Diceros bicornis minor: one gene and its partners. The protein of the gene in region 1 purifies or fractionates together with the protein of each later gene. This does not show direct contact. Links are inferred from orthologs where the notes say so. Each region holds a gene or a part of one and is shown in the gene's direction. Other genes may lie near its edges. The genes, in order: STX7, PTTG1IP, SNAP23 and SLC31A1.

Region 1 (7,902 bases):
GAAAAGCACCAGAATATATAAAGAACTGTTAAAACTCAACAATAGGAAGACAACTCAATAAAAAATGAGCAATAGATCTGAACAGACACTTCGCTAAAGAAGATATATGGATTTTAAATAAGCATATAAAAAATGATCAACATTATTATGGAAATGAAATTAAAACCACAATGAGATGTCACTATGTACCTATTAGAATGGACCAAAATTAAAAAATAAAATCTAACAATATTAAATGGTGATGAGGATTTAGAGCAACAGAAATCCTCATTCATTGCTGATGGGAATGCAAAATGATACAGCCACTTTCGAAAACAATTTGGCACTTGCTTATAAAATTAAACATGTACTTATACAACCCAATAATCCCCCATCTAGATCTTTACCCAAGTGAAGTGAAAAATTATATTTTTTATCTAAATCTCTATGTAAATATTTATAGAAGCTTTATTCATAGTTGCCAAAAATTGGAAACAACTAATAGGTGAATGGATAAATAAATTGTACATCCAAACAATGGAACACTACTCAGCCATAAAAAAATAGCCACAAAGTATTGATTCATGCAACAATGTGGAAGTATCTTAAATATCTTAAGTTTTGCTAAGTGAACGAAGTCAGACCTAAAAGGCTACATATTGTATAATCCACTTTGTATGACATTCTGGAAAAGGCAAAACTATATAGAGACAGAAAACATGAATGGTTGTCAGGAGTTGGGGAAGGAGAGGTGGTTAGCTAAAAGTTACTGCAAAAGAGAATCTTTAGGATGATGAAACTGTCCTGTAAGGTGTGGGAGAAGAGGGAGAATCCCCCTCTGCCCTTTCCCGTAAGGTTCTTATGGTTGGCCAAATAATTAGCAAGACAGGTTAGCAGGAGAAAATAATACCAAGTTTAATAACATGTATACATGGGAGAAACTCAGAAATGAGCAACTCGTCCCTCTGTCTAAGCTGCTTGCTTAAGTATTGTAGCTAAAGGCGAGGAAGGTGTTGGGGGTGGGTAGTGGTCTGGGACTTCAGAGGGCAAGAAGACAATTCTTCTTTTCAGGTTCATCTATAGATAATGTGGTCAGGGAGAGAGAGAGTTTTTTGATAAAAGGGGCTTGGTGCCCCTCCCATTGTAACATCTATTTTACATTATCATTACAGCCATGATGATAGAAGATCTGTTCCAGGAAGGAGCCACCAACTCAAATTCTTTAGGCAGTTAGTGGGAGAGGTCAAATGTCCCTCAGAGAAAACAATCAAGGTAAAGAGATATATTTCAGGGTGGCCAAATCTTGATCTCCCACAAAGGTATTGGGGTGATGGATATATGACTGCATGCATTTGTCAAAAATCCATAGCACTATGTGCCACAAAGTGTGAACTTTATGCAAATTAAAAAAAAAATCAACTAGTACGTTTGAGGAACCCCAGATGAAATGCAGACACATGACAAACAAATCTAAATGCAATACAAACATAAAACATAACTTCACTGAATGGGGTAGGGAAAAGAACTGATCTGGTTAATTTTGGAAAACATTGTCTCGACTCAATAATGTAAGGCTAAAAACAAAAAGAATTTTCCATCAACACTGTACTCAAGGTTTTTTGCTTTTTTCTCTCATAGGAATATGAGTTAGCAATTCTGAAACTACTTTACATTGTACAAATAAGTAATCATTAATTAATTTTATTATTTATTTATTAATAATTACCACTTGACTGACTTCTGATTGCACTTCAAAATCTTTTCAAGAAGACCCAAATTCCCAAAATTACTGGGTCTGAAAAGCCAAATTACAAGCCTTCAGACACAGGTCACTCCTGCGAGTGTAAAGGATTTGTTCGGGGAGAAGTGAAATGATTACTTGTTAAATGAGCAGAATTTTTGAGCCCTGCCTGGGTTCAAGGCCCCTGGCTGAATTTCACGAAGTAGCAGGCAGATGCAAAGAAGGGATACTATAAATGTTAGGAACTCTCTGGGAATTTATTTATCTTCTATGCCTCTAAATTTTGCAGGCTTACCTAAACTATATTTTTTTCCATTTGATTACAAAGGGATGAAGTCTTATTCTCAGATTTTCAAAAGACCTGGAGGAATCCACTCATAACATGTTTTAAGACATGAGAAATTGGAAGGAGCCCAGGAGGAGGCTCTGAGCTGTGGTTCCAGTTCAGGCAGTAACCAGCAGGGTAACCTGAGAGGCCACGTAGCCTCAGGGTCTTCTTCTACAGGGCACCATGCCTTCCCCTCCCACAGCCCAGGGTTCTAGCAAAGGTAACTTGAAAGCATGTTTGGAAAGTGTACCAGACCTTATGTAGATGTAAGTTCTTTGCATGATAGTTCCTTGATTGATTGAAATGCCTCTTCCTAAGTTCACCAACCACTTCTTACTTCTCAAGTCCAATACACAACTTTCAGTTCTTAATTTACTTGAACTTTCTGTGACACGTGCTATCATGGAACATTCCCTCTTCATTCTCTAGTTCACCTTTTCCTAGTTTACTTCCTATGTCTCTGATTACTCCTTTTCAGGGTTTCTCTTTCTCTACCCTCCCTTAAACACAGAAAGTCCATAACATTCCTTCCTTAGAGTTAGTGAGCTCATCTGTTCCCACGGTGCCAACCAGAGCTCTATCCTGAACACCAGCTCACACCTTCAAGTACCTGTAGGACACTGGACATCTCAAACTGGATGTCCCTTCCCCAGAAACTTAAACACAACACACCCAAAGCTCAACTTATTGTCACTTCACTCCCTCATTTCACCAGCTCCTTCCTCAAACCACAATTACTTTGTTAGTAGTCTTGGATCTCAGTAAGCTATATCATGCTCAGCTCAGTTTTGCGTGTCCTAAGAGTAGGAGTCATCTCTTTCATTCTCCATATCTAATTTATTTATTTATTTATTTATTTATTTATTTATTTATTTTATTTTTTGTGAGGAAGATCAGCCCTGAGCTAACATCCATGCCAATCCTCCTCTTTTTGCTGAGGAAGACTGGCTCTGAGCTAACATCTATTGCCAATCCTCCTCCTTTTTTCTCCCCCAAAGCCCCAGTAGATAGGTGTATGTCATACATACATTCACTATATAAACTCTATTTGCCTTTCCAGTCTCGTATCCCTCCAATCCACTGACTACAGTTTATCTAAATAAACATATAGAGATCCCTAAGAGTTTGCATTTGCCTATGATTTTATAAATTTTTATGTGCTTCTTTTTTTGCCTGAAATGTCCTTTCCCACCTTGTCTTCTCAGTGAACTCTTACACATCTTTCAAGCTTCTGTTAACACTTTCCTTTTGGAGTGGTGCCTGACCCCACAGTAAGGCATCCTCGTCTCTGGACTCTCACTGTGCTATGTACAAATCTTTATCATAGCTCCTTTTACAGTGTCCTGGGAGGGATCTCACTCCTTGAGAGAAAACACTATACCCTACCCATCTTCATACCTGCAGTGCCTGGCACAGTACCTGACAGATGACAGGTTCTCAGTGAGTAGTTGCTGAATGAGTGATATGGTAGGAAGAACTCAAGATTCCGAACTAGGTCATCTGGACCTGTGCTGCTTATACTTATCTGTGTGATTTTGATGGAGTTTCCTTGGGTTTTAGTTTCTCTAATCTGTGAAGTGAGGGAGTGTACCTGGATTTTCTGTAAGGGCCTCCCCAGCTTTCATACTCTGTGGTTGACACTATTCCCTTTTATAGAGGTTGAAACACATATTTTGTCTGATCACAGAATATATTATACAAATTTAAGAATATTGAAGAAAGGAGAGATTTCACATAAAAATCTGAATTTCCACTGTATTTTGACAAGGCGGAAAACTTGACTACTGCGTATCGGGCCAGTATTCCTAAAAGTCTGCAATCAGCTTTAGCTGAATCCTGCTGTCCCTGAAGATGGGGTGTGTGCCTTCCGCTTGGCCAGTGTGCCCACCTCCGTCCATCGCCCCCTCCCCACCGAGGCAGAGTGTAAGTCTCTGCTCATTATCACACTTGCAGTGTAGTTTTCTTCAGTCAAGAGGAGAAAGAAATATTTTTTTCCCACTTCTCTGTTAAAAGTAGAAAAATGAAAAACAAACTGCGAGACCCTTGTATTTCTTATCCCAGGCTGACCTTACTTATGTATATATGCATGTATAATTCCAAACAACCTAGAATTTGCTCAACTCAAAATGTTCTTTTTTTTTTTTTTTTCCCGTTAAGTGCATCTGGAGTTTTGACGTCCTGATGATCCTTTCAGAAAATAGTGTTGCCTTAATACAGGCAAAAGCCAAGCCAATCTATCTTCTAACCAATTTGCTGAGGTATTTCTTTCACCTGAAGCATTTGATGCTGTTTATCTAACACTTACATTCTGTTTGAATACTGCATTTATTACGAGAACATTCTCTGCTCTCTTCAAACACTGTGAAAACTGCGCCCTGCCCTTCAAGGATGACTTGTATGTGCTACGAACACCTGTCTACCAAGTGAGCACACGGTCATGATTTCCCTTTTCCTTCATTGTTCCTGCTGGGGTTGCCTATTTGCGTGCGCACTCTCTATGGCGCTGTGAATACAGTCTACCGCAGTTGAGGGTTAGCCAACAAAGCAGGCATGAGCTGACGGGGCGGGCCGAAGACGCGAGGCTAGGGAGGCTGGCATCACCCTATAAAGAAGACAGCTCCCCTGCATTCCCTCCTCTTGTTTTTGCACGCAGGGTGAGGCGTTCCCCCTCGGCACGTCAGGCCTCGAAGAACACCTGCTCTGCAATTTTGCTGGTCCCCCCATCCCTCAGCTTAGAATCAGAGGGGGCGGGACAGGGCTGTCACTCCGCTCCGCGGGCCAATGGGAGGGGAGGAGCCGCCTCCTTCCCAGGCGTATCGCGGGCATGCGCAGTGGGCGTCTGGACGCCACCGCCCATCAGCTGAGAGCTGTGGCTGCGGACTGTGGGTCCGGGGTCCAGCGGCCGGAGGCGGAGGAGGCAGCCAAGGAGGTCGGGGTAAGCGGGCGGGGGCGGGGGTCCCTGCGCCCCGGGGGCGCGCCGGCCCGGGGCTGCCGCGCCTCCTGGTGGGCGCGCGTGGTCAGGGGCCGCCGCCCTGCGCGGTGCGGCGGGCGCTGCCCGGCCCCGGGGCGCCCGCTCCCCTCGGCCCGGGCCGGCGCGGCGTGCCCCCGGGCCCGGCCGGCCCCCGCCTCCCCGCGCCCCGGGCCCCGCGGCCGCGCCCGCGCCGGGTGGGGCGGCGCCCAGCCCGCCCGGGCGGCTCGGGAGTCCAGCCTGCGCCGCGGGCTGACCTCTTCCTCTTTCTCGCTCGCCCGGGAGAAAAGTTCTCCCGCTGGAGGCGAACTGAAAATGCGGCGGCGAGGGCGCCCTGTGCGCTCGTTCCGAGCCTCGTTGTCGCCGTTTTCCTATTTGGCGTGATGACTGGGACACGCTGACTTGCTTTGATCCTCTCAGCTCCTGTCATTAATTGGTTTACATAAAGACCTTGACAGATATATAAAATATTTCCAGCTGCCCCCTCCCCCCTTGTTTTTTAGGTTGTTAGTTTCTTTAAATTCAAACAAAAAGAAAAAAAAAAAACATTGCCTTTCTGGTCAATTGCTGTATTTTTCTCTCTCGAGTGTCTTAGATTTGCTTGGCTCTTATATACATGCAGTAATTTTTGTTTAATTCAGATCAACGTATTCTGACTATAAATATATATAATTTAAACCTGGCACAGAATCTGGAAGAAAAGAAAATGCTTCTGAAATGCTCTGCGGTTCAGTAATGTTGGAGGTGGGCGTGTCTTCTGGGGGTGGCCTGAGCGATAACTGATGTGGTAAACTGTGTCTTGTGATGTGGACAAGCCTCTGCTTTGCAGGCCACTTTGAGAAGTGCGTCTGACTTGTGACCAGTTAAGAATTACGGTTTAGTTTCAAAGAAGATAATATAATACCGTATTAACTCAACATCTGTGTCATTTTTCCTCAGATATTTTACTTCTGCTCCCCATAACACAGTCAGTCCTAATTTTGGTTATGATCCCAAACTTTAGCCAAGTGCTGTGGGTGAAAAATAAATTCTATGAAACACCTGCAGTAAGTCTGAGTAAAGTTTGCCTCTGATTCCATTTAATTTGAAAGATTAGTGTGTGAAAGGGTGAAAAATAATCCTTAGTGTTGTGACCTAAACCCAAGTAGTAAATAGGTTAACGGATGGAGGAGCTGAGCTCAAGAATGCGGTTAGTGTAGTTATAGAGAATGCTGGTGTCCGGAGAGGGATCGCCATCACATTCACGGAACATCTGTGCACCCTGCACTGTGGATTCCACAAGATGACAGGGTTGTCTCTCTCGTGTCTGTATTCCAGAGGTGGGGTAGATAATAAACTGTATACTAACTAGATCGTTTTAAATGGTGATCAGTGCTATGGTGCAGTAAGTTAGAGAGATCAACAGAGAGTGGCGGGGTGGTGATCTCTCACTTCACATGGCAGTGGTCACGGAGGCTTTTCTAGCATGTGATGAGAGCTTGCTGGGGAAAAGAGCCAGTCACTGGGATCGTGGGAAGAGCCTTCTAGGGATAGGAAATAGCACCCAGCAAGGTCCCCAGGCAGCAATCGTCCTGGGACATCAGGATCTGAAAGAAGGCCCTGGAATTCAGTGTCTTAGAAATGGTCATATTTAGGGGCTAGCCTGGTGGTGGAGCAGTTAAGTTCACGTGCTCTGCTTCTGTAGCCCCTGGTTCACCGGTTCGGATCCTGGGTACGGACCTACTCAGTGCTCATCAAGCCACGCTGAGGCAGCGTACCGTATAGAAGAACTAGAAGGACATACAACTAGGATATGCAACTATGTACTGGGGCTTTGGGGAGAAAAAAAAAGGAAGAGGATTGGCAACAGATGTTAGCTCAGGGCTGATCTTCCTCAAAAAAAAAAAAAAAACCCTACCCCTCTGGGAACTTCACATTTTGGGGCACGGGGTGGATGGAAGTCTGTTGCTTTACGCTGGTGCTCACCATTAAGAAAGTGAAACTGTTTCTATTGCCCTAAGAGAGTGAGATTTCTTCAGGGAAATCTTCATGGGAAGATTCATGAGAATCTTAAGGATTCTGCATGTGTCCAGTAGTAACTGGGGGTGGTGTTTGACAGTCATGATTCCATGTTAAAATTCCCTTTGTTCTTTCATTTGTGCTCTTTAGAAAGTCTTGAGAGGACGCTCGTGAATACAGTCGATCCTCTGTATCCGAGTGTTCCGTATTTGCAAGTTCAACCAACCACGAATCGAAAGGCCTACATGGATGCGTTTGTGTGAACGTATACAGACTTCTTTTTCTTGTCATTATTCCCTAAACAATATAGCATAACAACTATTTACATAGCATTTACATTGTGTTAGGTATTATAGGTAATTTAGAGATGATTTAAAGTATATGGGAGGATGTGCAAATACTACACCATTTTGTATAAGGGACTTGAGCATCCCCAGATTTTGGTATCTGTGGGCTTTCTGGAACCAATCTCCCAAGGATACCAACAGAGGACAGTATTGCACTTTGATTCTCTTTTTGCTTCTTTCTCTTCATAGTGTTTATATATCTTCATAGAAAGGTAATTATTGAGATGTCTAGATGAGCACTGTTTAATAGAACTTTCTGCTATGATGGGAATGTTCTATACGTGAGCTGGCCAAGCCACTGGCCACACATGTGATATTTGAACACTTGATAGTGCAGGTATAGATAATGAGTTATTGTTATTCTGAGCAGTAAAACAAGGGATTCTGAATGGGCTTTCGGAAGTACTCAGCAAGAGAACTGTGGTGTGTATTAGCTCTGGCCTGGGTGCTGGAGACTGATGTGGGAAGCAGGCGCCAAAATAACTTGGTTGCTTAAGTCTCTATGCAAAGATAAACTTTTAAGTCAATTTGTAGGTAGCTG
Region 2 (6,923 bases), on another chromosome or scaffold:
AAGTATATCTTCTTCTTTCTTATATCACAGTATCACCCACACCCCTATCGACCCCCTACCCACCCACAGAACTGTGAAGGGGGCACACGGGAGGACATCTGGCTTTGGGTCTCCTTTTATTTCAAATTCTAACTGCGTCAGGGCCTGTTACTGGGTGTCACCTGGGACCCTTTACCTGAGCAGGTGAGGGAAGCAGAATGGCCTGATGCCCCACTGCTGCCCACGCAGCAGCACTTCCCAGCTCAGGGGACTCAGCCCAGCCTGTGCCTGGGCAGCTTTAAACAGCATGGCACCCCAGGGAGTTCTGACTTCATTGCGGGGGGCGGGCAGGGGGCGGGTGGCTGGAATCGCTGCTTCTAAATGTTCCTCAGGTGGTGTCTGTGGCCAGCCGGGGTTGAAACCTGCTGACCCTCTGTCTTTTCTGCCTCTGTCCTTCCTTCCTTCCGCCCTGGAGCCCTGCTGACCCAGCCTGTCTAAGAGCTGCCACACACCTTTCCAGATCCCTCCAAGGCAAGTCCAAAGTCCAAGGCCCTCAAGTGTTCCCTTTTCCTCAGCTGAGCTGAAAATGAGATCTCCCAGTGTTAATGATCTCGGAGGTTTAATGTGTTACCTGCCCAGGTAGCCGCTTCACTCTTTACAAGGCCTTTCTGGAAGTAATTCTTTAACTTACTAAGGAATGTACTCGTAATGATGAACAAAATCAAATGGCACACTGACCAGGAATAAAAACAACTCTGGTGAAAATGCCTATCATGTGACTCCAATTTGCACAGTTCCAGGGTGGAGGCCCTGGCATTCCAAAACCACCAGAGCTTGACCTCAGCCCACCGGGCTGGTCTGTGCCCTTGGGCAGCCCTTTCCATTTCAGTGCGCTCAATGAATATTTCCCTTAAATTGCCACCATTGTAATGTGTCAGTTTAATTCCTTACCCATCTTTCTTTTTGGGAAAATCATACCCTCTTTCAATTCCAGACTGCAAACAGAGTAATCATCCTGTTTCTCTGAGAAGTCATTGTAGTTCGTACTTTCTCATAATGTGTCGTTTAGGTCTTTCCTATGAGCCTGAAGCTCTTTGACAATCAAACGTGTTAAGTTAAACAATGCCGTCCCCTCTGCCTCTGTTTTAAAACAGGAACTTGGGCTCTAGTTACAGAGTATTTTTTGAACTTCTGTGCTACCATATTGTCCCAAAACTCAGAGTATCTTAAAATGTCATTGCTGATGACGCTGTTTCAAATGTAGCAGTGTTCACTGTGTCCTGGTTAATGCTTACAAATGCCCACTGTCCTTCAGCTATCATTAAATTAGCATTGTGTGATTGTGCTATTAGGACAAAGAAATGTTGGTTTCCGAGGCCATAGTTCTAAACCCAGGCTGGTGTTTACTCCATTTCTAATAGCAAATGAGTTTTTAGACATCTCTTTATGCAGCAGAAGATCCAAAAAGCGATATGAAGTAATTGAACTGGAAGAGGAAGGTCAGACGTAGTTTACTGCAGTCAAGGGCCCTTTGCGCCTCACATGGACAGAGAGGAACTTTGTCACTTGATGAGGAGCCAGGGTAAATTTGAAGATATGCTCATTAAAACATTTGACGTTGGCACTGACTCGACATCCCGGACCCATGATCTTTCTGTGCAAGGGGCCAGGCTTCATTCTGTGCACCACAGACCAGTGCCATGGGTACCTGGGCCAGCTCGGGTCTGCCCTAAAGGGAAGACCGGGCAAGGTAACTCTGTGCTGTGACCTGCAACCCGCTGGTACCCTCTGGCCTGATTCTGTGACCTCATGATGGTCAGCAGTGCTGTGAGCCGAGCCACGCGCGCTGAAGCTCACCGAGGCTGAGTAGGTTGGCGGAGGTCGCAGAGGTGGGAACTGGTGGGGTTGGGATGCCGGCCTCACAGCTCTGATGCGCTCTTCTCCGGACCCCGTGACATTCATTGGACATGCACCCTCTGGGTCCAGTTTACCATAACTGGGTGACAGGGTGGGATGAGGTGTGCTGACTGGTCCTTGTACATCAAAGGAGGCACAAATACACAGCAACCAACTGTGCCCTCCTGGCCAAGAACAGTCTTTCCACACTGGCCCTGGGGGTTGAGGGCAAGTTAATTCTAACCACTTTGGGGCCTTCTCAGGGAGAGGAAGTACAGAAGATTTTATAGGCCACATCCCTGAATTCCAGCATGCTGGAAGAGAGAGAGGGGTGTTCCGATGAGTCTGGACCTTGCCTGCCTCCCCAGGGCTCACCTAGATTCTCAGATTAGACTGCAGCCCACCGCTCGGAATTCACCACAGTGCTTCCCTAGAGGGTTGAGGTACAGGTGGGACAGCAGTGAGACACGACTCAGTAAATGACGTTGGGGCCCTGAAGAAGATCAAAAATGGCAGACACCTCCCCTGTGGCAGACACCTCAACAGCGATGCAGCAGACATCACTAGCTGATCCCAGGACTGCTCCTACCCAGCCAGGGGAGGGCTCTCACCAGGATGGTCCAGACAGCCATACTGACCAGACCAAGCTTAGGAGACGCATCTCTTGCTTTCCTGAACAATTCCCAAATCCACTCAACAATTACCAAATCCTCACTCTACTTTGATTATGGAAAGTCTTAAAAAGAAATCAACTGGACTCTTGCATTATATATTTGCATCACTTCTTGTACAGCTTTAAAAAGAAGCCAGTATTTTAACTACTGAATTTAAAGATACTAAACAACAAGGTCCAATACCATAGAGAGGGCACTAAGTGATGGAGTGACAAGTGACCATAGCGTGAGCAGTTCTCCACAGAGCTGTCAACTTAAAAGGCAAAACCACCTGTTATTTTATCTCCAAAGGAGTGTATTCAGAAATAGCCAAAAGAATTGCAACTCAGAATGCGCAAGCTGTGGCAACCCATAGACAAATCCAGAGGACAAAGGAGGGGGCTGCTTTTATACAGAAATAGGGGGAGAGGGAGGGGCTGAAAGTCCATTGGGGGAGAGAAACAGATCAGGGCAGCAATGGCTTCTCATTGGATGAACTACAGTGTTTCTCATTGGCTGAGCTGTGGCTTTCTCATTGGCCTGGCGCTCCCAGGTGGGGAGAGAAGTCTTCCTTCAGTAGTAAAGTAGTTGTACTTCCTGTGGGAGATGCAAGTCTAGTCTCTTCCTGTTTGGTGTAATTGAGGATGTGATGGGGGTGAGAGCTCCCCCTGCAGGCCTTCCCAACCCGGTTTAGTTAAGGTTTGTCTTATTTCCACAAGGTCAAAGATGGGTCCTGGCAGGGAGGAGCACGCAATCCCAGTGTTTGGGGTCCTGGGGTCCATGGGCATGTGAGAGCGAGAAACGCAGCTTCTCTCAGGACTCTAAAGGAAAGTTTCAATAATAAAAGTCTACACCAAGTTTGAGGTTGTTTTAAATGTTTTTAACTACATAAATAACTAAATCCTCAAACATTACTATCTGAAAGCCGACAAAGTTTAAGTAGGGCCATTTCCGAGGGAGCGGGAGTATGCCCAGCGAGGATCCGACTAATGGCCGAGGGAGCCGGGGCGGGCGGGCTCCTGGGGGGTGGGCCCGGAGGGAGCGCCGTGCCCACGGGGGCGTCCAGGGACCAGGGTGCCGGAGGCGACGGTCTTCCGGGCAGGGGGTCGGCGCCGACCGCGTTGGCTCTGCACGGCCCGCGGGACCAACCAAAGAGGGGCGGCGGCACCAGCAAGCCCCAGAGCCATCTCCAAGCCTTCGCCGCCCCTTTAGAGGCAAGGCCACGGCGCGCCCCCTCCCCAACACCCCTCCCAGCCGAGCATGCGCACTGAGCCACAGCGAGCCCGCCGCCCGTCAGCCGCGCAGGCGCACTGAGCGACGCCAGGGGGCGGGGAACGCGAGCTGCGGGGGGTGGGGGTCGCCGGAGGGCGAGGGACGGGCGAGCAGGGGCGCGCGGCTGCGCACTCGCCTCGCCGCCACCCTGCCCACTTCCGGCGCGCGGCGCTTCCGGGCAGAGGCTCCGTGGCAGCTGTCCGAGGTGTGGTGCGTCCGGTCGACGACCGACCGACCGACGGACTGACCGGCGGGGCCCCAGCCACCATGGCGTCCGACGGGCCCCGTGGGCTGACGCCGCGGTGGGGACTGTGCCTCGGCGGCGCCGCGCTGGTCCTGCTGCTCCTCCCGGCGGCCGCGGCGCAGGAGCAGCCCGGAGCGGGTGAGGGCGGCCAAGGGGGCACGGGGTCATGTGGGCGGGCGGAGGGGGCGCGGCGTCATGGGGTCGACCGAGGGGACGAGGGGGCGCGGTGTCGGGCGGGGATATGGGGGAGGCGGGGTCGTGGGGTCGGGCGGAGGGGGTGTGGGGTCACGGGGTCACAGCCGCGCCGGGTTGCTGCTCCCTGCGCGCTGCGGTCTGCGGGGGCGGCCGCGGGTCCACCCTTTGGCCCCGTCGGGCGGGTGGAGCCGCAGCGGGATGTGCCTACGGGAAAAGAAGGGGCCGAGCGGCTGCCCCAAGCGTGGGTGTGTCAGGGGGTCCAGATGGCGCCCGGCCGTGCTGCGCGTTTCCGCGGGCCTGCAGTGGCGGCCTAGCTTAGCACACTTTTCTCGCTGAAGCTCACCGCGACCCTCGGAAAGATTGGGGGGCCGGTGTCCAGGCCACGCCCGTCGAGGGTTGCGAGGGCCGGGGCTCATGTCCCGGGGCCCTGCTTCACGCGGGAGGCCTGGGTGGGGCCCTTATGGCCAGCCTCACCGCGCACGTGAAGATTCCTCCGAGGATCTCCAAGACTGTCGTGAAGGCAGGAAAGCACAGGCCGTGGCATTTGCCACCTGGAAGCCAGCTGATCCCTTTTCACACTCTCCAGACCTGCAGTGGGCGTTCTTCATGGGTTTATCCCACCTGTTTTTATTAACCACCTGTGCCAGGTGCTGAGCCGGTGGTTCTTATGTATCCTTGAGCTGAGTTCCTGGAGAGACTGACTAGAAAGCAAGCCATTGGGGCTGGGGGGGCGGTGAATAAGGGGAGTGCATGGAAAAAAGTGCACGACCTGAGGCCCAAAGAGTTCTAGAAACTGAGTATTGCTGGAGATGGCTTCCTGTGGGCAGAGCAGGGCCTGATGGGTTGTCTGGAGGCTGGTGGAAATCTGGGAAGGGTTAAAGCTGGGGACTGTTGTGGGACCTGTTGCAGAATGTCCCTCTCTGACTGCTGTGTGGAGTCCCCACGTGATCACTAGTTGTGGGTAACAGAGCCACAGGAGGCTGCTTAACCTGTTTCATGATGTTTACAAGTAGCATGGACCGGGGCCCAGCACAAGGGACAGTTTGTCCTCAGCTGATCTCAGCCCAGGCTTGGTTTAGTACAGCCCAGTGCCTTTCCTCTAGGTGACCTTGTTGAACGTTTATTCTAGGGCAGGACTGCTTGAGTGTCCTCTAATCTACTTCCAGGAGTATGTGTGTATGTGTCTGTGACGGTCACAGTGCAGCCTCCTGGCGTGTGTTAATGAAGCAGTCAGGTTGCACTGTATAGGGAACTTTTGGTCCAAACTGAGTTCTAAGCTCAAACGTGGAATGAATACTTTTTACCAAACAGAATGGCTATCTGCCAAGAGCCTGTGATTTCGAAAGAATGTGTTTATTACCGATGGCTGGGGGGAGGGGGGATGCCCTTACCAGAGTGGGCGTGTGAGGGGGGGGTGCCCTTACCAGAGTGGGCGTGTCTGGAAACGCCCTGAAGCCTCCTGTTTGGCTGCTCTGCTTTCCATGGTGCCCTGGGCTTCTGAAGCTGCAGAGACCCCGTGTGAGATGAGTGGGAGTGTCCTGTGACGGTCTGGGAGGTGAACCAGACTATCACTCTAGCATTTCAGGTGACAAGCAGCTGCTTCTCTAGCCACACGGCATTCCACTTACCACCAACGAAGCTGGAGGCTGCTCTTGTTTCCTTCAGCTCACAGGGATTCCTCTCTGTCCCAGGGTACACCCCAAGTCTTCAGTGGGTGGGAGGGGGTGGACGGTTGTTTCTCTTGTCAGCAGTGCCTTCAAGTGGGAGGAATGGTGTCCTGCTGGGATGGTGTTTACGCCCCCGTGCCCTGGGGTCTGCATTCGCCTTTCCTTGGAGAGAGGTGCTGTTCCAGCATGGAGGTCCCCCTCCCACACCGTTTGTGCTTGTGCGAGATTTTCACCACTTGTCATGCTTTGGGCATGTGGCTACACTATTTTGTCTTCCTTGCAAGCACATTAGTCAAGGTTCTCCAGAGAAACAGAACCAACAGGATATGCACAGCTATAGAGAAAGAGAGTTATTATAAGGGACTAGGTCACACGACTATGGAGGCTAAGAAGTCCCATGATCTGCCGTCTGTAAGCTGGAGACCCAGGAGAGCTGGTGGGGTCCAAATAGGAAGGCCCGAGAACCAGAGGAGCCAGGGGTGTAAGTCCCAGTCTGAGTCCGAAGGCCTGAGAACCAGGAGCACCGATGTCCGAGGACAGGGCAAGATGGATGTCCCAGCTCAAACAAAAAGTGAATTCATCCTTCCTCTTGCTTTTGTTCTGTTGGAGCCCCCCAACAGTTTGGACGATGCCCACCTGCATTGGTGAGGGCAATGTTTACTTGGTCTATCAATTCTGATGCTAATCTCCCTTGAAACACCCTCACAGACACATCCTGAAACAGGATGTGAAACCAGCTATCTGGGCATCCCTTAGCCCGTTCAAGTTGACATACAAAATTAACCACAAGTATGTAAATTCAAAGAATACATCACAGCAATACAAAATCAACAATTTCTGATGTTTTCCTGTATGCTTTGGTGGAGAGGAGACATTGGGAACTTGTGAGGTATTGAAGATCTTTGGAGCGGAATTTTTTAAATTAAAGAAGTCTTCATGGGCCCTGGACCTCACCAATTGTGTATGGGGTCAGACTCGATCCCAGAGTTTCATCTTTACATCCCGGGGGAAGACGAC
Region 3 (6,903 bases), on another chromosome or scaffold:
CTAAAGTTGAGAAAGAGCTTAAAACTAATTATAAGATTTCCTAAAGGGTTTAGCACAGTACTAAGCTCTTAGTAAGTGCTCCAAAGTTATTCTGGCTTGAGTAAATTCGATATAAACCATTATGGTGGATAAAGCACTCTCTTGGTAGGTAAGAGAAGAACTTCCCTTAACCAGGATGGCAGTCCCAAATTGCTAAGAGTCATGGAAATCTCAAACTTCCCAACAAGATAGCTTAATCTCAAAAGATGGTTCTGACTCTCAAAGATAATTAAATCGAGCAGATTGAAGGGGGAGTGGGGTGCAAAGCATTTCCTCTCCATAATTATGCACCCAGATTCGGACTAAATACTAAATTGACACATAGTAAGCGCTCCATAATTAACAGCTATTATTAAGACGCATCCCATAAGGAGAGAAGACGGAAGAAGGAAAAAGAACGGAGGCTGTAAGTCACAAGTGGTCGAAAGGTGTTCCTGGCCGGAGACCCGTAGGCCTTTAAGCACCCTGACTCTATGGGCTCCCTGCGGCACCAAAGGCCGAAGGAGGTCAGCGGCCTCCCCTAAAGGTCAAGGCTCTGCCGCCACGTTTCCGGCTGGGAGCAGAGCCGGAACGCCCCCGCGAGAATCTGTACCGCGAAGCCAAAAGCACCGCCTGCCCGTAAACCCGCGCGGCTCGGGGAGAGGGGACGACCGGGTTGCCCCTGCACCGCGGCCTGCAGGAGCAGAGATCCGGCCGCGTCCTGCAGCCCCAAACCTCCCTAAGGGGCAGACCACCAGGACCCTCGGGCTCCGATACGCCTCAACGCAGCTCGGCCCCTCGATACTCACACTCACAGGCGACCCCTCTTACTCCATCAGGCCGCCGAGGCCCAGACGAGGGAGCTCCCTGACGCCCCAGACGCCCCCTCGGTTTGGGGCCCGGCGGCCCGCTCCGAACCGGCTCCCCTCCGGGCTCCGCTGCCGCCGCCGCCGCCAGCGCGCAAGCGCACACCGCCGCCGTAGAGCTCCCCTCTCTTTTTTTTTTTCCTTTGAGGTCCGCCTTTCTCAATAATCTAGCTTTATTTGAACTCACGAAAGTGAACAACGGACACAGGGGGAAAAGGGTTTATGTACTCTAAAAGAATGGGAGAAGACAAAAGGCAGGCAGGCTTGCGAAGTTAGTCCGCTGCGCTGCACGCTCCTGTGAGCAGCCTCCCGGTTCCTTCTTCATTCTCTTTCTCTTTCCGGGCCTCGCTCTTGCTCTTAGTCTCTTCCTGTCTCCACCATTCCCTTTAGGCGGTGGCAACTGTTGCCGCTACATTGCCAACCACTCCTTCCTTCTAAAATTTACTGAAGCTTAATGGAAGGTGCAAGAGCTTTAGAACACACAGACCTGAGTTCCAATTTTTTTGACCTGGATACTAGTACTTTGTGACTTTGTGTAAATTACAAATTTTCTTGGAACCTCACTTTCCTCAGAGTTAAAATTAGGATATCTCTCAAGGTGTTGCTAGGATTAAATGACATAACATAGGTCAAGTGCCTATCCATAATGGTGCCTATCAAAGAGCAGATAATCCATTAATACTAATAATTACATTCTTATTAATACTTAATGTATTTATATTATATTAATTATTAATATTAATTTATCTTAATTATATATATTAAACTTAGCCCATACCCATTCTCTCGGGATCTTATTTTAGTGACTAAAACTAGTGAGATAAACCAAATTACATTAAGGTTGATAATTTGTGAAGTGTTACTCCTCCTATATTGTTGAACTTCTAATAATATCTATGTTTAACAAGACCTTCAATGCCTCAGATCAAAGTAAGCAGCTCCCTTCATCTCTGTGTAAATCCAGATTTGCTTCTAGAGGATTGAGGAACTATTCCCATTCTGTGTTTGTGACATCACAAGTCCTTGAAACACTCAAGGTCTGAGGTATGCTGCTCATTCTACTCTCCTTTAAAGGCAAGCAATGGAAGAACTGCTTTACCCTATAAGCTCTGGACCATAGTCCAACGAAAAGCTTGTAGAAGACCAAGGTCAGCTGTTGGTGAGCGTCAAGGTAATCCTAGATCATGATTTCTCAACCTTGCCTTGGCACTATTGACATTTTGGAGATAGTTCCTGTGCTCTCCTGTGCATTTTAGGCTATTTATCAGCATCCCTGGACACCAGATGCCTGTAGTGCCCCCTTACATCCCCACCCACCCACCATCTTGATAATCAAAATGTCTCCAGACATTGCCAAATGTCTTCTGGAGACCAAAAAAGGAAAATGTCCCTGGTTGAGAACCATGGCATTATGCCAGTGACCATCCCAACGCTAAATGAACTCAACCATACATTTTCTCCACTTCTACCTCAAGAAGTGATTACTGCTTGAGAAATCTATGCAGGAGGGCAGAAACTGGTGAGTTCATTTTTACCAATCTTATACAGGCCCTCAACATGGCTTACCAGTTCTACTACTTTCCTCTGGTCAATTTGCTCTATCACTTTCTACAACATTCCAAATCTTCTCCACTTTCTTAAAATTCCCAACTCCTTTTCTATCAGCAGATGACCTCATCTCCTACTTCACAGAGAAAACAGAGGTGATCAGATGAGAACTTCTTTAACTTTCTGTTACTAAACATACAAACTTACAGACACATACTTCCTCTCATTATAATTGAGAAGATCTCTCTTCTAAGACTGTCCCCCCATCAGTGCTCTGGATTGCCTCCATTCTTACCCTCTGAAGATCTTTACCTACTAACTAGCACTTCTCTTTATTCAACTGTTTTTTCTCAGTTGCATATTCCCTATCATGCTTAAGTTTCTCCTGCCTTAATTCTAACAAAAAATCCAAGAAATAGAAACAAAAAACTTTGACCCCTTGTCATCCCTTTCCCTCCTACCCTCAAGGCCAAACTTTCCAAAAGCTTTCTACAACCTGTCCCCATTTCTGTATCTCCTCTCTCTCCAAACTACTGCAATCTATTTTTCAACTTCATCCCAACAGATAGCTTTCGCTAAGATCACTAATGATCTCTGTGTTACTAAATTCAAAAGATATTTCTCAGGCTTCATCTTCCTTGACCCCTTAGGAATAGAATATTCCCTCTTTAAAGCATTTTTCCCCCCCAGCACTGTGCTTTATTTTTAGAGGTGCCTGGAAGAGTTCCCAGACCTGCTTAAAACCCTTCAGTAGCTCTCAGTGATCACAGTATAAAGTGCAGGGTCACTAGTCCAAAAATGCAAGACCTCCCAAGATCTGGCAATTGCCAACTTTTTAAAGCTTATTCCCCCTTCACCTGGAGATATACGATGAGCTCTAAACCTCTAACCAGGATGAACTACAAGTAATTTCCAGAAGGCGCTATGTTCTTCTTGGCATACGCTGTTCTCACAGTCTGGAAAATAGTCTCTCTCCCTCCCGGACTTCCGGGGGAACTCCTACTTATCCTTCATGACTCAAAAGTCATTTCCCCCGGGAACCCATCCAGCCACCCCTAAGAATAAGGCACTGTGTTCACTGTGCGCCAGCGGCGCCTCGGATTTTCTATATGCCATGCACTATATTCTATCCACTATAATTTATTTACATATCTATCTCCCAGTCTAGACAGATCAAAAGACCCTAGAGGGCAGGGAAGGCATTCTATTCGCTTTCTTTTCCTCAGTGTTCATCCCGCACAGTGCCTGGCGGTTTGCCCTCAGTACGGTACATGTAAATGTTTGTTGCTTGAACACTTCCCACCTACAAGCGGGACTCGAATTATCCGGTTAACGGGTGAGTCCCCAGGCTCCTCGCCTGCGTGGCAGGGAGATTTAAACCCCCCGCACCGTGATTGGCTCCAGCTGCAGGGGTGTGGCCGCACCCGCGGCGCCGGGGAAGTGCGCAGGCGTGTGAGGCCGGCGTGCGCAGGCGCAAGAAGGGGCAGGTCCCAGTCCAGTCTGGGGGTGTCCGAGCTGCCGAGGCCGCAGAGGAGTGGCCGAACTGCGTGGTGAGTCTCCAGGAGTGGGGCTGAGGGAGCTGGCCGAGGTGAAGGTTGGGATCGTATCCGAAGGAGAAAGAGTATATCATGACGGTTGAAAAGTTGGTAGGATCGGGCTTTAGGGGAGGAGCGGGGCTGTGGCTCGGACTGGGCAGGTCGGGCCCGGAGCGAGGACGCGAGGCGCCAGGAGACTGTCGAGAGGCCGGCACAGGCAGGGTGGCGGGATGGTGGTTCTCTGGACCCTTTCTTGAAACCGAGCGGAGGTAAACTCTCACTCCCTCACCCCCGACCTCCACAGGTTTGCTGTGGTCGGGATTAATAGACTGTATGGTGACCACAGTGATCAGATAACTGTGAATTAGTTGTCTGAAGAAGATCTCTGAGGTTCATGGCATTGGCGAGTCCATGCTTTCTAGGAAAGTACAATCTTACCTGTTTTACTTGGTTCTCTCACGTTCTTCCGTAGCCTGGAAAATACCACACTTGAAATGCATGAGGCATCATTAGCTAGAATACTCTGAGATCTAATCTTAAAATGTCTCATAGTAAAATTTTTAAAAATTAATATTTTTGCCACCAGCAAAGTTGATGCCTAAGGCATTCAGTGATCCTTGTCATTTGTTCCTTTGGCAAGAGGTAATGAAAAAGACCGCATTCGTATAAATACTAGCAAATATTAGGAGAAACAGGAGAAACACCTCACATTACCATTCTCTTTTGACAGGTCATGTGAAAGTAAATAAAATGATCATATAACTTAGCCTACAGCTTAAATATTTATCATTGTTGCTAGGGCTTTTTTTTTTTTTAAGTGCTTGTGGTATGTGGATATGCACTAGAAAGTTGCTGTTATCTTAGTTCCAGAATAGGACTGACTTATTGTGCTATTATTTTCTTAACCTTATTACACTGTTTCCTATGAACAGTAGAATATCTGTATGGATCTTAGCCTTTGTTTCTTTTACTCTAAAAGAACTTAAGTATACTAACAAGCTCACTTAACTAAAGGTCACATTTTTTCTAATCATTCAGAACACAAGCTTAAATCAAGAAGAAAGCAAACAAACAACAAAACAGGCCCTGTTGCTCGTGGAACAGCTGTCAGTACTTCATTTATCATGAACCATACCACCATCATAAATTTTGCCTTTTAGAGGATCGTCTGTGTTATTTTACTTCGTATTTTTAATAGACTTTTTTTGAACATTACCCTCTTCCAAAGTGATAATCTACGAAATCCTGGTCTTGTATTTTATAATACTTTCTAGTTTTGTGTATTTTATAATATTTTTTCTAGTACACATTATAATAAATACATAACTATTAAGTACATAACTATTGCTTATATAACAGCTAAAATCATCTCTTGTTGTTGCTCTGCCCTTTGGAAAATACTGTTTTGGGTCTAATCTACTCATTTTTAAAATGAAGTAAAGATTGGACTGCCTAAACTCTAAGAACTTCAAAATTCTGTGAGCCCTGTGATGGCATTCATTATTGTTAACGCAGTTCTAGCAAACTTACTTATCTGGTTTTACCAAATGAAAGTAGATTGTAATAGCAAAAGAGAAAAAGAGGATGTTTGCTCTTTGACATTTTTGTGAAATCAGCTGCCTTTCATTTTTTTTTCTTCTGAATTAAGGCATTTTCTTTTCCTTCTTTGGTTCCTATGTCCTAAACATTCTGGAAATCTGTTTTTAGGTGTATTTGTACTCTGCATTGTATGTGTTAGTTAGCATTTATAATATATGATGTTGCTTGCATTCAAGAATGCTGAACTTTTTATTCCAGTGCCATGTTTTGTTTCCAGGTCTGTAGATTGACAGAGGAGTTGATGACAAGGACTGGTCTTTTCTTTGTCATGGTGGGTAGAGGCTTGAAACAGATGGATCCAGTGCCTCCAACAATTGGAGGAAGTGGATTGTGGAGCCAGGAAACAGCATGTACTGTTCTTTTTGTGGTATTGGGGTTGGAGGTGAGGTTCTGTTTGCACTCATTTAAATTCACTGACAGTTTGATTTTGATTCAATTTAGGTTTTATTGCAACTAAAATATTTAAATCACTGATCTCTATATTTTTCTGAAATTCCCTCATCTTGTTGATTTTTGTGAGTTCTGTAACTTGGATTTAAAGTTTGTTTTAAATTTATTTTAACAATGTTTTGACAACTGAGATTTCCTTTAGATGGCCTCATGATGCTTATAAAATAAAATCCACACTTCTTGGTATAGTGTACAAAGCCCTTCACAACCTGTCTCCTGTCTGCCTTTTAAAGCAACCCTGCCCCCTCTATATACATGCACACACATACACACGTTATATTCCTGCATGACTACTGAGGCCTTACATTGTGACACTTCTTTGATAGTCTAAAATCACAATTTTTGTTTTGTTTTGTTTTTTGGTGAGGAAGGTTAGCCCTGAACTAACATCTGTTGCCAATCCTCCTCTTTTTGCTGAGGAAGATTGGCCCTGGGCTAACATCCATGCCCGTCTTCCTCAACTTTATATGTGGGACGACTGCCACAGCGTGGCTTGATAAGCGGAACGTAGGTCCGTGTCTGGGATCCAAACCCCAGGCCACCAAAGCGGAGCGTGCGAACTTAACCACTGCGCCACTGGGCCAGCCCCTAAAAATCGCAGTTTTTAAAAAAATTGATCTTGCTTGGATTTTGATTCCCAAGTCAAAAACATGAGAGATATTTAATAATTATTGTGAAAAATTATAATAGCTTTATTGAGCACTGTGTGCCAGCCAGAGTTCTAAATGCTTTGCATGAATTAGCTCAATCCTTGTAACAGCACTTGAAGTAAGCACTATATCCTTATTTAATGAGAAAACTGAAGCACAGAGAAGTTAAGTAATCAGTAGTCAGGATTTGAAACCATTATGCCTCCAAATATTGGGCACTTAACCACTACACTGTAT
Region 4 (7,492 bases), on another chromosome or scaffold:
TCCTCTTTTTTTTTCTTTTTCTGGCTGAGGAAGACTGGCCCTGGGCCAACATCCGTGCCCATCTTCCTCCACTTTATATGGGACGCCGCCACAGCACGGCTTCCCAAGCAGTGCGTTGGTGTGTGTCAGGTATCCGAAGCGGCGAACCCCAGGCCGCCGCAACGGAGTACGGGCACTTAACCGCTTGCGCCACCGGGCCGGCCCCAACAATGCCTACTTTAAAGGACTAACAGGTTTAAATGAGATTGCAAGTGTAGAGAGCAGTGCTGGCCTAAACAAGACATCAACAAATGCTTACGAAATTTAGAAGAGACCAAGATTTCTCCTTTTAACGAGGGTAATCTGGGTAGATCCCCTAAAAGAATAAGATTCTGGGAAAGTTGGGCAATGCCTTTAACAGTGAAAATTTACAAAGCTGAGAACCTAGTTAAGATATAATGGCTGATACACAGACAATTGATAAGAAAAAACTGTCCTTGTTAGCTTCAGTAAACTATGGGTATTGAATTTACTATTTTAATTCTGCAAGTATGTTTTATTTCAAGGGAAAGACAGAAAAGTGTCATAGTTCTATGTTTCCATAGATGCCCTAAAGGCCAGCCAACTGATTGTAAAAGCAATCCAAAAGCCAGGTCAACCCAGTTATCTTTCAGATTAATTCTAGTTTCTATTAATATTTTAAAATGAACTCTAGACAGACTTAGGGACATAAGTTTCTTGTAAATTATTACATTTTTCCACTTTTGAAGTGTTCTCAAACGTAGACATCTCTCTATGTTAGCAAAAAAGGGCTTGCTAACTCTAGGCCTGAGTCTTTATGTTTATAATTTATGGCAAAAGTCATTACAGTACTAACTACACTTTAAAAGCAAATGTTAGAGCCAGCCCCGTGGCGTAGCGGTTAAGTGTGCGCGCTCCACTGCTGGCGACCCGGGTTCGGATCCTGGGCGCGCACCGATGCACCTCTTATCAGGCCATGCTGTGGCGGCATCCCATATAAAGTGGAGGAAGACAGGCACAGACGTTTAGCCCAGGGCCAGTCTTCCTCAGCAAAAAGAGGAGGATTGGCATGGATGTTAGCTCAGGGCTGATCTTCCTCAAAAAAAAAAAAAAAAAATGTTAGCCAATGCATTTAGTTGCCAAAGTCCCCACTTAGCCTTAGTTTTATACTCCTTTTCTTTTCTCATCATAAATAATTACACACGCATTTATATTGTATCAAAATATTTTAATAAACAGGGATTCTTTTTGTTGTTAAAGTACTTCTTTTATGATCTGTGGTATTAAATATCTACTTCTATAATAATAATAATGGCACATGGGCAGTCTGGTGGAAATCTGCTTGCCTGATTTCAAATCCAAGCTCTTTTGCTTTTTAGCTGTGTGACCTCAGGCAACTTACCTCTCTGAGCCTTAATTTCCCATTTGTAAAGTGGGTATAATAGTAAAAACTACCTCACAGAGTAGTAGGGAGAAGTAAATATGATAAAGTATATATAGTACTTAGTACAGTGCCTGGCACTGAGTAAGTACACAATATATGTTTTATATACATGTGCACACACTCTATTACCTTAAAATGTCGATTCAATTCAGCTACCCCTGTAAGGGAGAAAGCATGCTCAATCAATGCACAAACTGACCTGCACCTATAAACTGATATCATCATAAATACAAAACAATAGAACTGGAAAGGTCTCAAAGATCACCCAGGGCAAATCCCATTACTCAATAGACTGGGGCATGGAGAGCCAAGGATGGGAAGTGACTTGTCCAAAGTCACACTCCTAACTGGGGTAGAATCAACATTAGAATCTAGGCTTTTCCATATCTTTTACAGAACTTAAAAATGCTTTCTGATATCAGTTCTAGATTTATCTTTTTTCTATCTTTACACTGATTTATTGTTACCATGCCTACATATTATTTTTATATAATCTAAAACAAAAGTATATACATAACTGGCCCTTTAAAAATGCTTTGTGATTATTATTACTGGATTGATTTTATTCTACTACAAAAATGTAAGTTTTTTAGGGGCAGGAACAGTGCCTTATTCCTATCTGTATTAGCTAAAGCCAAGAACCATACACTTAGCAGGCATTCACATATTTCTTCATTTTAAAGTCACAATAGTGGAGAAAAGGCTAAGACCAAAAAAAAAAAGCAAGCCTCCTGAGTGCCATTTCTAGGTTAACCATGGACTTTAAGAGGCCTGGAAACTTGAAACAGATTATCAATCATCTAGACAGCCATCCCAGCACTAACACTCTCACTTCTACTATGCTAAATGGAGTATCCTAAACGGAGTCAAGTAAGTCATATATTTAAGTCAAGACATTTGAAAATTAATAAGCAAGTATATTTACAGTAAATTACAGTTAGAAAGAGGAACTGAAAAGGAGCTGCCGTGCTCACTGTCATGCGTTCTATTTCCTTAGAGAAAACCAAAAAAGGAATAGCTGAATCAGAGAATGTTGGTGAAACTTCCTATATTCTCAATCTTAAATTTGATTGGTTTTTCTGGTTATTACTGGGAACAAAAATAAGTTATCTGTATAACTTTGTTTACTAAGCCTTTTATCATTCAATTAGCTGTTGTCTATGTTTAGGAGCACAGTCACACGCCTAGAACTAAAGTGTTTCCGGTCCTTGATGAGCCTGCTCAGGAAAGCAGCATTGCTGAGCCACCAAGAACTTATCTCAGCCCAGGAATCTGGAAAAGAGCACATGACTGTCATTATCTACCGTGTAATTTTCAGTCAGCAGTGGACTGCTTGTTGCACAAAAGTTGAGAGCCCTACCATTCATTTACAGACTTCCCCCAAATACTTTCATCTAGTGAAGAATGTGAATTTAAAGTAGATCTTGTAAACTTTCAAAAGGCACAGCCACATACAAAACAGGCTTGTATGAAAAAACACGAATTCAAAAGGCTCAATACACAATCAACAGCAGCAGGCTGGACTCTGTGGAAATTTTAGTGAATGTTTTGGGTGGAAGAGGGGAAAAAGGAACCAAAGCACAGCTTAACTCTCTGAGCAACTAAAAGAACCCCAAGTGGAACTAAGTGGATGTAGACCATCTAAAGCAGGGGTGGGGTAGAACAGGGTGGTGAGAGTGAAAAGAAGACTTCAGGATGGGTAGTACAGAGCTAGTCACAGTGTAAGTCAAAAGATCCTATTTAAGGCCAGTGTCATTTTATGGTCATTCATGTACTGAACTCTCCACCAGGACTGGAAGCGACCTGAGGGCAGACACAGCAGCTTAATCATCTTCGTAACCTCGCAGCATTTAGTAGAATGAGGAGTATGTGTTGGTGTATTCATCATTCTTCAGTACACTCTGAAATTTCTTAAACAGATGTTCGAAGACAGGCTCTGCAAGAATCAGAACTTAGCAGCTCACAAGTCAGAAGGGAGTCAAGCTGTCTACTGACAGAACACAAGGGAAAAGGCTAAAGTGATTACTGGAAGAGATAAAGCCCTGCCTCTTGAAAACTTGTACCCCAGGCTAGTATAACAATGACTGGGACAGAGGATAGCGACCACAGTCTCTTACATTGGTTTTAAGCTTTAGAGTGCAATTTCACAGCTATTATTCATTCAACAGGCACTTCCTGAGCAATCGATATGTGCCAGGTACCGTGCTGAGGCTAGACAGAGATGACCAACATATGCAGTCCCAGTCCGGTCAGGGACTCGTAATCTAGTAGGTTCGGTGTGCAAGGATAGACTGAAACACGCCTAGCTGTGGGAATAAGAAAGACAAAGCAATTTATTCTGCCTGGGGCCGTAGGAGAACGGAAACCATCAAAAAGGTGACATCCGAGCTGGGCCTTGAAGGATGCTGGAGCTGACCCACCCAGGCCAATTCTGAAGTGTCACCGCCTCGTGCATGGAGAAAAAAGTCTCACACTGGCCCCAGCTGACTCCTATAAAAACTCTGAGGCAGGTCCTCCCATCAGCAATCACCCCCATTTCACAGAAAGTGAAACTGTGACCCAGAAAGGAAAAGGCGAACCGCAGGGTCATTCTGCGTGTCCGCGGAGATGTCAGGTCCACGATCCAGGCGGACAGACTCAGTTGCGAGCTCTGCCCAGATTCTGAGACCTGCAGAGCACCGGAATGCGGCAAGGGTGTGGACCCGGAAGTGGGGAGAGGTCTGATAAGAGATCTACCCCTTCAACATTTTGCCCGGCTCTCTCAGCCACGCCCTCTGCCCCACGCTTCTCAATCACTCACCCCCCGCTGGGCGAGAGGAAGTCGGCGTCGTCTTCATCGACCGCACCGAACATTGCGCTGGCTTTCCTCCCGCTGCTGGGAAGAACTCGGGGTTCTTCTCGGACCTTTCACTGCCGACGTCGTGAAATGACGCGCGGCGTCTGCTTTCCGGCGGGGCGGAGACAAGCCGCGGGAGGAGGTGGAGCCAAGGCACAGGGGAGGGCCTCGTGGGACGCGCGCCGCGTGGCGTTAGGATTCTCTAGCCAGCAGAGGCGGTGAAATACGCGGGAGCGCCGAAGTCCTGCGCAGGATTGGCCAGCGGAGCAGGCGGGGGCGGGGCAGAGACCGCGTTCAGTGGCGGTCTCCGACACGACGAGCCGGGCAGAAGTGGAGGGGCTTCCGAAGAGTGGTGGAGGGGTGAAGGGTTACGATTCTGAGAAGGAGGCGCCGGTGGCGCGACTGGATCTAGGAAGGTAAGTCCCCCTCCCCCCGCCCCTTTCGCAACCCTGGCACGGGCACAGTCCTTTCCCCTTCGGGACAAGGACCCTCCACGCCACTCTTCTCAGCTTGGCGAAAGGAGAAGGGGCCCGGGACTGGCCGTCTGCAGATCCAAGCTTTCGGCCTTGCCCCTACAGTGACATAACTGAAGTGACCTTGGGGCAAGGTGTTCGGTGCCTCAGTTTCCCCATTTGTAAAAATGGGCGTGACGCCCCTACCGCTTGTTCCCTGTGGCCGACCTCGCTATTTATTCAACGGGCTATTTGTCCAGTGCTTCCTGTGCCGGCTGGTTAAGAAGCTTTTAGACCTCAGAGGTCATCGAATTCAATCCGTGTTCCAGAATTTATGGATAGGAAGAGGAAGGAACTAAACACTCTGATGACTTAGGCGGGCTGGATTGCTGGTCTCTTGATTCAGGACTTTAGTGAGCTGATGGGTGAACAAGAACCTTATCAGCCCTTAAGCACTGCGTGCCTTACAGAGTGGTCGTTGCCAGACTGTGGCTTACATCTTGAGAGAAGGCCCCTCTCTGGAGTCCACCTATGCAGGAGAGCTGAAATATTCTCGGGATGGGCGATGGAAAGGAGGAAATTTTAGAAGCTGAAAATCCACAGCCCCGACCTTGGCCTGGGTTTTGCTTAGTCTTCCTGCCACAGATCTAAGTCAACATCAGTTGTTGCTGACTTCTCTGCCTCCAGTCCATCCTCCCTGTATCTTATGTAAGTGTTTCTTTGGTTAACCTGGTATAATTCTTGGCACAATCTCCGGGTGGGCCTGGCTTAGCCAAGGTGTGGATAAGCAGATAATGTCCCACTGTAGCGTCCATTTCCGTAGATCTCCCTGGAGTTCTTTTACTCGACGCTTCTCCTCTCAGTCAGGTTCGCACAACAGGTGTCCCTTACCTGAATGTCTCAATCTGTTAGCGTGAAATTGAAGTGAAGTGATTTGTAGCTCCCTCCCAGAAAACTCCATAGCTCCTAGTACTTCCCTTGTTCCGCGTTTTATTATAGTTTATGTACTTCTACCACATTGTAAGCTCCTCAAAGACGGGGGCAATTTTATTCATCTTGGTGTCTCCTGTGTCACAGAGCACCATCTTGCCCATAATGGCTTAATTTTTTGTTAGATTGAGTAATTCTTCCCTTATTCCTTAATTTACTCTCTTAGGACTTTTTTCCCATGTGACCCAAAGAGGCCAGTAGTTGTTCTTGCCTTCTATAGATGGCTTCCAGAAAGAGAAAAATGCTGTACTAGCTGTGAACTCTCTGGGTTACTTAGCCTCTTTTGTTAATTGAAGATGATTTTACTAATGTTTAAAACTCTAGGGGAGGGGAAAGAGGGGAATAGGATAGCGAGAAATATTATATGTAACTCTAATTTTAGTTAGTAAAGTATTCCTCTGTAAACTGAGAGAGAGGGCTGTTGTCTACTTCCTTGTTTATTTTACAGATTAAGATGGTGGGAGCGATGAAGGCTGACAGTGTTAACGCAATGATGTAACTGGAGTCTTAGCACATAACTGGAACTCTTTGCGGTAGTTCTGTTTAGAAAGTGGACTTGGCTACCTCTCAGGAGAAAAAAAGAATGAACCGCATAAGTAACATAGCTCTTTGTAATCCCTCTCCCCAGTTCTGGTCCTTGTCCTTCCAGCGCTGAAGCATCTGAGTAGTGCTTTGAAAAAATGCTCAAGGATCCTTTGAACGCTTATCTTTCGTTCTTGCCTGGGGGCATTTTCATCCAGCGTGGTTAAGTAGCCTTTTTAAATGCAGAAATCCTAAAATCTGGATCAGCCGTTTTGATATTTGGGACACCAAAATATGCATTCCCGGATCACTGTTGTGGGAACACGGCTGCTGGTTCTGATTGGCAGTATGAGGAAGGGAAAGATAGTGGTGAGGCTTCCTCAGTCTCTCAGGTTTTAAACTGCAGGATTGGGTGCACTTAAAAAGCCACTGTTTTCCTGAATTAGAATATTGGACTAGGATTCACAAAACCTGAATTTTCATCCCAGCCCTTCTAACTCGCTCTGAGCTTTTGGCCCTGGCTCCCTAAACACTTTCTAAAAGGAGTGGGTTAGACCTAGACATCTAAGTACTGCTAGGGATACAGAGGTTAAGTAAGGCACAACTTTGGTCTCAAGTTTGAATTAAGTGTTTTGTTTGTTTTGCTTAAGTACACAGCTTTTAGATGCATTTATAAAATGTATTGACCCCCTGAAGGTTAACCAGGAAGCAGCAGTTTTAACAATTCCTTTCAAATTATCAGCAGTTTTGCTACAGAGATGACAATTTTTATGTACAGGTACACCCATACTCATCTGTGCTGGTGAATGCATTTTAAAATTAATAGTTTAAAATTATAACCAAGTGAGATCACAGGTGTGGTGATAGGGATATGAACTGAAGATAGGTTTGGCGAGTTGGTATAGTGTTCATTCTGTTCAGTCGCTGAAAACGCAAAAAAGTCAGAACACAATTCAAGAAATACCGTCTGAAAACCTGCTATGTGTACAGCACTGTGATGGGTGTTGCCTGGGATAGGAAAATGAGTAAGTCATTGTTCCTGTCCCCAAAGTGCTTATAGTTGAATAGTGGGGTTAAGCAAAGTATAGGAATAACCATAATAGAAGACATAGCAAGGGGCTGGCCTGGTGTCGTAGCGGTTAAGTGCTCGTGCTCCCCTGCGGTGGCCCAGGGTTCAGATCCTGGACGTGCACTGACGTACCACTTGTCAAGCCATGCTGTGGCGGCGTCCCATATAAAGTGGAGGGA

What was found.
Region 2: the proteins of STX7 (region 1) and PTTG1IP purify together in Homo sapiens (affinity purification with mass spectrometry; 3 studies listed by BioGRID and IntAct, counting the BioPlex papers as one, with this or other methods). This does not show direct contact. The link is inferred for Diceros bicornis minor from reciprocal best matches to the Homo sapiens genes STX7 and PTTG1IP.
Region 3: the proteins of STX7 (region 1) and SNAP23 purify together in Homo sapiens (affinity purification with mass spectrometry; 3 studies listed by BioGRID and IntAct, counting the BioPlex papers as one, with this or other methods). This does not show direct contact. The link is inferred for Diceros bicornis minor from reciprocal best matches to the Homo sapiens genes STX7 and SNAP23.
Region 4: the proteins of STX7 (region 1) and SLC31A1 purify together in Homo sapiens (affinity purification with mass spectrometry; 3 studies listed by BioGRID and IntAct, counting the BioPlex papers as one, with this or other methods). This does not show direct contact. The link is inferred for Diceros bicornis minor from reciprocal best matches to the Homo sapiens genes STX7 and SLC31A1.

The regions. Positions count from the first base shown.
Region 1 is NC_080762.1:5,448,521-5,456,422, forward strand, and holds the start of STX7 (syntaxin-7), read left to right. Parts: upstream 1-4,893; 5' UTR 4,894-4,983; intron 4,984-7,902. UniProt on the Homo sapiens protein: May be involved in protein trafficking from the plasma membrane to the early endosome (EE) as well as in homotypic fusion of endocytic organelles. Mediates the endocytic trafficking from early endosomes to late endosomes and lysosomes.
Region 2 is NC_080766.1:44,238,120-44,245,042, reverse strand, and holds the start of PTTG1IP (pituitary tumor-transforming gene 1 protein-interacting protein), read left to right. Parts: upstream 1-3,922; 5' UTR 3,923-4,067; coding exon 4,068-4,182; intron 4,183-6,923. UniProt on the Homo sapiens protein: May facilitate PTTG1 nuclear translocation.
Region 3 is NC_080744.1:40,080,474-40,087,376, forward strand, and holds the start of SNAP23 (synaptosomal-associated protein 23), read left to right. Parts: upstream 1-3,896; 5' UTR 3,897-3,982; intron 3,983-5,783; exon of another isoform or gene 5,784-5,948; intron 5,949-6,903. UniProt on the Homo sapiens protein: Essential component of the high affinity receptor for the general membrane fusion machinery and an important regulator of transport vesicle docking and fusion.
Region 4 is NC_080767.1:21,478,259-21,485,750, forward strand, and holds the start of SLC31A1 (high affinity copper uptake protein 1), read left to right. Parts: upstream 1-4,470; 5' UTR 4,471-4,696; intron 4,697-4,730; exon of another isoform or gene 4,731-5,440; intron 5,441-7,492. Other genes in the region: FKBP15 (FK506-binding protein 15), read right to left, coding at 4,245-4,297.